2 linked regions of the Tribolium castaneum genome follow. The protein of the gene in region 2 purifies or fractionates together with the protein of the main gene of each other region. This does not show direct contact. Links are inferred from orthologs where the notes say so. Each region holds a gene or a part of one and is shown on either strand. Other genes may lie near its edges.

Region 1 (4,452 bases), on a different chromosome or scaffold from region 2:
CCGGTTTTCCGGCGTATTAGCATGTGCTAAAAGTCGATGCATGTGACCCATATTTGTGTACAAAAGTGCAACATTCGCCTCATCTTTAACCTTTTCGAAAACAATCAAACCTCTCGTTAAGTACGGTTCAGCTTTTTTGCACATTTCCACAGTAAGATCGCTCGTTTTAGCCGACTTGGCTTTATTCAAATAAAACGAGGCGACTTCATTTAAACCGTTACCCAACCGCCGTAAAATACTATCATTTTCGCTTGATTTTAACGCCACTTCGTAACACTCCACACCTTTGAGAAGAATTTGCTCGATTGTGCGAATATCGTAAATGAAAACGCACTTCATGTTCGACTCGCCGATGTGGATGTTGTACAATTGCTCGTCTTTTTCGAGCTGTTCCATCAATTTTAAATCTTCCTCGGAATTGTTTTGGAATTGCTGGCGGTAACTATCGACTTTATCCCAGTTTTGGATCATCATAATGCAACAATCGCCGGCTCTGCCCAGCAAACAATTCTCCTTCAAGGCGTTGGAATTGTAAAGGAGGCGGTTCATCACCAACTGACATCTAGCCAACAAACCAATCGTCCTCAAACTGTTACCGTAATTTCGGCCACCGAAATGTTGTTCCGACAAAATTGCATAAACCAAGACCGCTTTTTCATAAAGTAAAGTCTTGAGATGGTCCTTCCATGAGATATTTCCCGTCCCGTTTTGCCAAGTCGGCAAAGGCTGAGTGTTGTTTTTCAAAAGTAGGGCATTTTCACTCTTTTTCTCGTTCTTCTTTTTTTTGTCTTTCTTTTTTTGTTTCTTTTGACCATCATTTGAATCAAGCTTCCCGTACGGCATTGGAATCGGTTCAAAAGGCTTGGCAACAGGAACTTCCTCCTCTTCGGCTGTTTTTTTACCACTAGCACTAGTTTGGTGTTGTTGGAAGTATTGCAAGCAATTAAGCCCGGTTGCCACATGCTGTACAGCTTGTAGACACCGCTCTTCCACAGTTCCCGTAATCGGCGGTGGCGACTTGTAATAATTAACAAATTTCTCCCTAGAATCACTCTGATCCAAGACGAGAATTTTCGTAGCTTTATCGTCTTTATCGTCGATCAAATCGTCATCGTCAAACTCATCATTTTCGTCCACTTCCTGCTCTAAACCAGGCGCTTCGGGATTGGTCCCTGCCGGGACGTACAAATCGGCCAACATATAGTGCGAGGACGTGACCACTTCTGGGTATTTTTCCTCCGGTAGCAACTTAACACAGTTTTTAAGCAACATCCGGATTGTTCCGGGTTGCCGATCCGATGTATGTTTCATATTACGCGCTACTCGGTATAATAACATACCCACAGGTATAGTGAAGGGATTTTGACCATTTTCCACATCTTTCTCTGAGCAAAGTGAGGTCAAGTCGTATAATTTCACAACCTCTTCGTCTTTTCCCTTGAATAGCCAATAAGTGTGGCCGGCTTTGGTCGCGTTTGACTTAAGAAACGATAAAATGCTTTGAGCAACGTCTCGAATTAATTTAGGGGAAAATTTTGAATTATCTAAGCGGGGTAAGTCTTCGGTTTTGATAAGTTCGTATTTTTGGACGATGCCGTTCAAGTGGTAACACATTACGACTTCGGGAACGTTTGACATTAAATTGTCTAGCCAATAATCGATGCCTGTTAGCACGTTGATTGGTTTACTGACGTCTCGAAGACGGAGTGAGATGCAAGGGTGGGTGCCACCACCGAATATCGGTAAATCCGTACCTGGAAAAATATAAAAAAATTTGATTCAAGGAAAATGCAAAATTACAAAAATACCGTACCTATTAACATTTCAATGTCCTCAAAAGTCCAAACAACATTTCTGTTGTAATTGTGATCAAAGGGCTTGGGATCGGGTGTTGCGGAGACAGGTTCAGGCAATTGGGGTCCGTGTAAAGGTACAGGAAGGGTTTTCGGGTCCTCATAACACGTATTTTCATTAGTATCACCTTCGGCCAAACTATGATACAGAAATTTCGAAACTAGACTTTTCTGTTGTAAGGTTTCCCGTCTTCGATTTTTAATGTACATATTCTTGTCCTCTTCGTAAGTCTCATGGTTGACATTTTCGAAAAAGAACTCTTTGAGCCACTTCCATTCAGTTTCGGAGGTTCTCAATAAATGTTTGTAAATATCAAAATCATCAAGTAGGAGAGTGTTTTCAACTCTGTGAACCATCATACTGATGTGGTTTTTGCAGTAGGGTATTTTAAGCAGGTTTTTTATGTTTTCCGCATCCGAAACCACATCTACTTCTCCCACACAGTCAGGGAACATGTGGGCCATTCTGAAACTATAGAAAACTTCTCAAGTGAACAATTTAAGACAAGAGCTAACCTTGAAAATCCCTTCTGGTGGTAGAGAACGTGCTGTAAGCCGTAAGAATCGGCCGAACTACTCAACCAATTTGAAGGGGGTAGGTTTAAGTCGGTGTTACATTTTAATCGAATGAATTGGGCCGGTTTTGGAACGGAATACTTCACAACGGCCCGTGACTTGACCTCCTCACTGTCGGCCGTTTCACTATCTTCATTTTCCATAATGGGCGGGTTACTGTAATTAAAATGCAACTGGTTGACCATAAGGATCACAAGGGAAATACACAACCACTTGAACCACTCTGAAGTGCTAGAACACCACCGATGATCAGTTCTAGAACATTCCACCTCTTGGCTCAAATATGTAATTTACAACGAATTCGTGTTAATTGTAACCACACATACCTAATGTAATGCACGGATGTGTTGAGTGTTTATAATCTTCCCGTTTTTGGATATTTAGCAAGGTTGAATTTTTGTGAACGACTTTTAAAATTTCTTTGACATTTACAGTTTGACATTGCGCGAATTCGAGCAAGCGCCAAAGTCTGATTAAATAATTAATGATTAATATTTATTGAAATAAATAAAATTTAAAGACGATACAATATCTACTAACCCAATGCTACTACAAAAGTAGCATTGTAGCATGTAGCATTAATTACAGTGATTGGCTCGTGTTCGTCTCGGCGCAAAAGAAACAATTGTCAAGTTCAAGATTTGTCTGTCAAAAGTTATATTTCGAAAATTTGTTTTATTTGCAGTTTTGTGTTTAATATTTTATATTTAAATGGTTTAAATAAAATAGATAAATGTAGCAATAGAGGTGCAATTTGATAAATTACTAATTTTGTGAAAGTGTTATTGGTTAATATTCAGGGTGATAAAATGAACAGCTTGAAGCAACCCCACAAAAGAATACCTCCAGGTTTTGTATTTGTATTCAGATTACCATAATAGTCATTTTAGTTTCTACAGAGCCCAACAATGAAGAGTTCCTAGTTCCTCAAGCACCCCGAGGACAATTATCCCAAAACAAAAGTCAAAAGTTCTCTGTGCTCTCGCTTTCAAAAAATAAAAAAGGTAATAACTAATATCCCAACGCGTTTCTACGTTTGTCTATATTATGGAATTAGCGCCTCTAATTGATAAAATAATTTCAATAATTTTTTCTACCGATTGTGCAACCAATTATACATCATGAATAATTTTTTTACAGTACAAAGTGAGAAACCTCCGGAAAATCATAGTGGTTGCAAAACCGGGACTAAAAAAAGGTTGTCTAACGAGGCAAAAATAGCCGCTGATAAGAAATGCAAACTGGAGGAATGTTCACTTGATGACGATTTATTTGATAATATTGATCTAACTCAGCTACTAAATGATAAAACTAATAAAAGTACGGCACTTTCAACGCGCTCAGCCAGCGACAATTCCTTACATAAAGTTGTTGATGCTTCACAAAAAACACCACTGTCTCTCAGATCAAAAAATGACCCAAACGAATCACCAAAAAAACCATTACTGACTCAATTAACTCAACTGTTTGAGAACAGTCAAGCCTTGAACCAGATTGAGACCATAATAAGTGAGAGTAACACGAACAGCACAATTTTGCGCGAGAAAAATTGGGGTGCAAAAATAAGCGAGAATTTGGGAGACGTTTTAAATGAAAATAATCGCGACGAATTGGAGTCATTTTTCGACCAAATCGAACATTCGGTCAGCGTAATGGGCTCAGATGTTGAGTCTGTCGATAAAGACATTTCGAAAATTTTGGAAGGACTTTTCGGGACGCAAAAAGTGGAACAAGAATCGGATAAAAATAATGAGAATGAGAATGATATTACAATGTCTGGAATTAATGCGAGTTTTGCTACGGCCTTAAAGCAAGTGCTTTTATCAAACATTACTAAAGACGTAATACCGGTGAAAAAAGCCAAAAGTGAGACGATTGGGGAAGAAAATGGTACGTTTACCGAAGTTGGGCCTTTCTACGGCTTGCCTTTGAGGGTTAAAGAGTTGATTAAAATGTACAAAGGCATTGATGAATTGTACGACTGGCAAGACGAGTGTTTGAATCTTCCGGCGATTAAAGAGCA
Region 2 (3,902 bases):
GAAACGCCAAGATTAATTAATAAGACTAATTTCCATTAAACTTCTCCAGGTGCTCTTTCAGAATTTAAGAATAAAAGCCAAAGTATAAAATACTTTGCTCGCCTATCGAGTTTTATTGTAGCTATTTTTTTATTTAATTAATTAGAGTGTTGTTTCGCAACATTTGCTGAATTGTCAATTTGTTCTTGTATTTATCTGTAATTCCATATTAGGTTCGCTGAATTAACGTAATTTTGGAAAGAAATTACAAGTGGGCTCAAGGTGCAACTATCACTAAATCTATTTAAGCTTAAAAATATGATAGGAAAGTTTTGTAACATGAAACATTGTGACAAAATCTGGAAGTTTTTTATTAAACAAATGAATAAAATAAATATACAATGTGTTTTTAAATGATTCTCATCTAGTTAACTTTGAAATTGGTTTACATGTCAAAAAATTTATGTCGTTCTGCTCAATTGATTTGTCAATAAATGTCAAAACTGTCACTTGTGAAATCATAAATTGTCAATTAATTAATTTTAAAAAAATGGTAAAATGCAACTAAATTGTTACACTGTGTAAGAAAACACTTTTATTATCGAAGTTTATTTCCGACTTGTAGGCTTAGTAAATATTCCATGTCTAAATTAATACTATAAAGCGGCATTTCTGATTTTTCATCACACAGACTACTAGATGAGAATCATTCTAACACACATTGTACAATTGTTTAATTATATTTAAAAAAAATAAGAACAAATGTATCAACAGATATGTCTGTGCGCAAACTTATTCTAAATAGTTTTGGAAGATATACCCTCAGATATACCTAAATAACTTTCAAGTTTTAATTTTTTTGTTATACTTAATATTTTTTAGCAAACATCAAATTCACCTCTACGTTATTAAAAATAACTGTTAGAAAACTTAATTTGAATGAAAAAAACTTAAGTTTTGAATGAAAATAGTGTGTTAATAAAGACTACAGTATTCAAAAATACATACCTACCTATTTTAATACGTAAAAAAATGTGACAATACTCAAATTGTGATCGGTGGGGTAAAAAGTCCAACTTGGAAAGGCAATTTCGGCCTAGGTTTCGTCAAAAGGATTCGGGATATCGAGAAATTCATTCAATACCTTTTTTTTTGTTTTTTATTAAAATTTTTGCTATTATGTACAGGTCAAAAGATTTATGATTCTCTCATATTATTGCAAACAGAATGGTTGACTTATATTCCACGTTATTTAATAACAGACATCAAGCTGAAACTCTAGCTTTAAAAGTCATGGTAAAAGGTAATCCCTTGTATCGTCTCTATTTTCGTGTAAACACGGTTATTCAATTACTTTTCTTGGTTTAAAATTAAATGGCAAGGCCAGACAGCTTATTTTACGGTTTAAGGTAAACGACACAGACCTCATCTCCAAATTCCTTCTCTAAAATATTTCAGTCAACATCAGAAATAGAAATATTTAACAAAATTATTTGAAGGTCGCCGCCAACAAAGAATTCACCAATTTAAGCCCAGACAGTAATAAAATCGTAGTTATTTTCCTCAAAATCGCTTCCTTAAGCATCAAATCTCTTATTTGCATGTTTTTAATTCAAAATTTTTACAGTTTTGGTCCCAAAAGTGTAGCTTATATTGACGATATAGCAGTGATTCTGTCGACTGGGAGCGTGGCGCACTCCTGTAATCCAGCTTCTTGGAGGTCGGGTTCAGTGGATGGTTTGAGGTTGGGAGTCCTGTTGCAAAGCGATTCACGTTGACTGGATGTCCGCACTAAGATCGGCATCGATATGGACATCCCGGAGGAGTCCGGGATGTCCAGGTCAGCTAAGGAGGGGCGAACCGGGCCAGGGGGGAAACCCAGCAGCCAAAAGTCCCCGTGTCGTTCAGTAGTGGGATCGCGTCTAGGAGTGGAAGCTTTGTGACAGCCCAATCAATACAGCTAGACCTGGGCCTTTTTGCCCTTTTTTTCCATCTTTGCTAATTATTAAACAATTTAGAAACCGTTATTGTTACCAATTGTGGGTTTATTCCACCATAGAAAATTATTAACTGGGGGCCCCTCATTGTTGCAAAGTCAATGGGTATGTATGCAACCAACATTGCAATTTTGACATTGACAAGCGATCATAACCTCAAACTCCAGAACGTTCGAGACATTTTCGCGATTCTTCACTCAAATATAAATCCCAGCATTGTGCTCACGCACTGACAGTGGTTGTAGTGCTGAAAGTGAGTCAAAATGACCAGTAACCAGGAAAATCAGCCCCAGATTGCGGGCGCAATTTGCGCGCCGCCCCCTCAGCCTCCAACGGGCGACGTGCCCCAGCCGCGTCAGCCCACGAACCTCCAGGGGCTCCTTAAATTCGCCATGGAGGCCACCAAGCTGGAGGACGCCCCCCGCGAGTCCACCTTCCAGCCCATGGAAGAAGCTCGCCGGAAATTCCTCGAGGAAGCCCTCAACTCGCTCACAGTCGACGTGATCGAAGTGTTACTCAAACAAATCAAAATTCTCGAAAAAGTGGACACGCTCAACGCCGGCGATGACGACAGCGAATACACAACAGCCCTTGACACGATCTCCGACTTTGTCTGTGACATCGACACTGCGAACGATTTTCACAAAATTGGGGGCTTCGTGATCGTGTCGCCGTGCCTCAAGTGCAAAAGCCCCAAAGTGAGGGCACAAGTGTGCAATTTGTTGGCGGAGTTGTGCCAGAATAACGCCTACTGCCAACGAGTGGTGCTCGAAAGTGGGATTATGCCGATACTTGTGGAGATTGTGGAGCAGGATCCGGAGGTGTCAGTGGTGGTGAAGGCATTGTATGCCATTAGTTGCATAGTGAGGCAAAATACGGGGGCTTGCGCCCAGTTTATACAATATAAGGGGGTCCAGGTGTTCCTGGAAGCCCTCAAACGAAATGAGGAGAAAATCAACACAAAAATTTGTTTCCTCTTGAGGGCGTTGTGCAGCTCACAGGCTGATTTTAAAAGCCGCCTTGTTTTTGTGGGTTACATTCCAGTTCTATTTTCCTTACTCTCAACACCTAAGACAAGTGACGAACACGTCCTAGGCCTCCTCCAGAAGTTGATTGAAGACAACTCAGCCGCCATTAACGAAAGCAGACAAAATAAAGTGAATGCTAAGGAAACCCTCGAAAATTATTTATCACAAATCAAGGGAAAGGAGGAATATTCCAATGAAGAAGAGTTGTGTGATACCATCTACAATACTTTATTTGCACAGAAATAAAACGTGTCATTGTATTTATTTCACATAATTAAGTTGTACTTTTGCAAAAATATACGCTTTTATATAATATTATAAAAAGTTGTTCCAACTCACGACACCTAACACTAATATCATAACATGCTTAAAATTTTACATAAACTTAATTGTTTGCAACAATTTCTCTCAAAAACCGGAACAAGACGTGATGTAAAATATCAGATAATATCAACTACAAGCACCTAAACATAAACACAATTATTGCTTCGAAAAATATCCGTTATTGCAAGTCGGCGAGACGATTCAGGAGCGTTTCAAACGATTCGTTACCAAATCGCGAATGCCACATTTGGCTGATGAAAAAATTCGGCACTTGTTCATAATTAAAAAACTGGGCTTCCTCGCACACATTCAACGCCAACTTCCAGATAATTTCCAAGTTGGCTAGGATTTCCTGATTGGCTGAATTGTGACGTGCGAGGCCTTCAACGCTCACTATGGTGGGGTAAATGTGGGACAATTTTTGCAAATCAAAAAACGAACACAGAGTGGAGTCTTGTCGCGAGACCAGAATGGAACCAGGGACGACGACGTCTTGAATCACCGTCAAAATGTGCTCTTTCACGTCCATTATTTGCTGCACGTTGTTGCGATGGTACCGGTTTAAGGCCTCGAA

The links.
Region 1: the proteins of hsp70-binding protein 1 (region 2) and erythroid differentiation-related factor 1 purify together in Homo sapiens (affinity purification with mass spectrometry; 3 studies listed by BioGRID and IntAct, counting the BioPlex papers as one, with this or other methods). This does not show direct contact. The link is inferred for Tribolium castaneum from reciprocal best matches to the Homo sapiens genes HSPBP1 and EDRF1.

Annotation. Positions count from the first base shown.
Region 1 is NC_087397.1:549,996-554,447, reverse strand, and holds the start of erythroid differentiation-related factor 1, read right to left. Parts: upstream 2,912-4,452; 5' UTR 2,756-2,911; intron 2,586-2,755; 5' UTR 2,573-2,585; coding exon 2,370-2,572; intron 2,326-2,369; coding exon 1,814-2,325; intron 1,755-1,813; coding exon 1-1,754. Other genes in the region: mus301 (helicase POLQ-like), read left to right, coding at 3,239-3,278, 3,320-3,433, 3,570-4,452. UniProt on the Homo sapiens protein: Transcription factor involved in erythroid differentiation. Involved in transcriptional activation of the globin gene.
Region 2 is NC_087395.1:16,048,608-16,052,509, reverse strand, and holds hsp70-binding protein 1, read left to right. Parts: upstream 1-1,633; 5' UTR 1,634-2,081; intron 2,082-2,143; 5' UTR 2,144-2,239; coding exon 2,240-3,250; 3' UTR 3,251-3,328; downstream 3,329-3,902. Other genes in the region: uncharacterized protein LOC100142079, read right to left, coding at 3,507-3,902. UniProt on the Homo sapiens protein: Inhibits HSPA1A chaperone activity by changing the conformation of the ATP-binding domain of HSPA1A and interfering with ATP binding. Interferes with ubiquitination mediated by STUB1 and inhibits chaperone-assisted degradation of immature CFTR.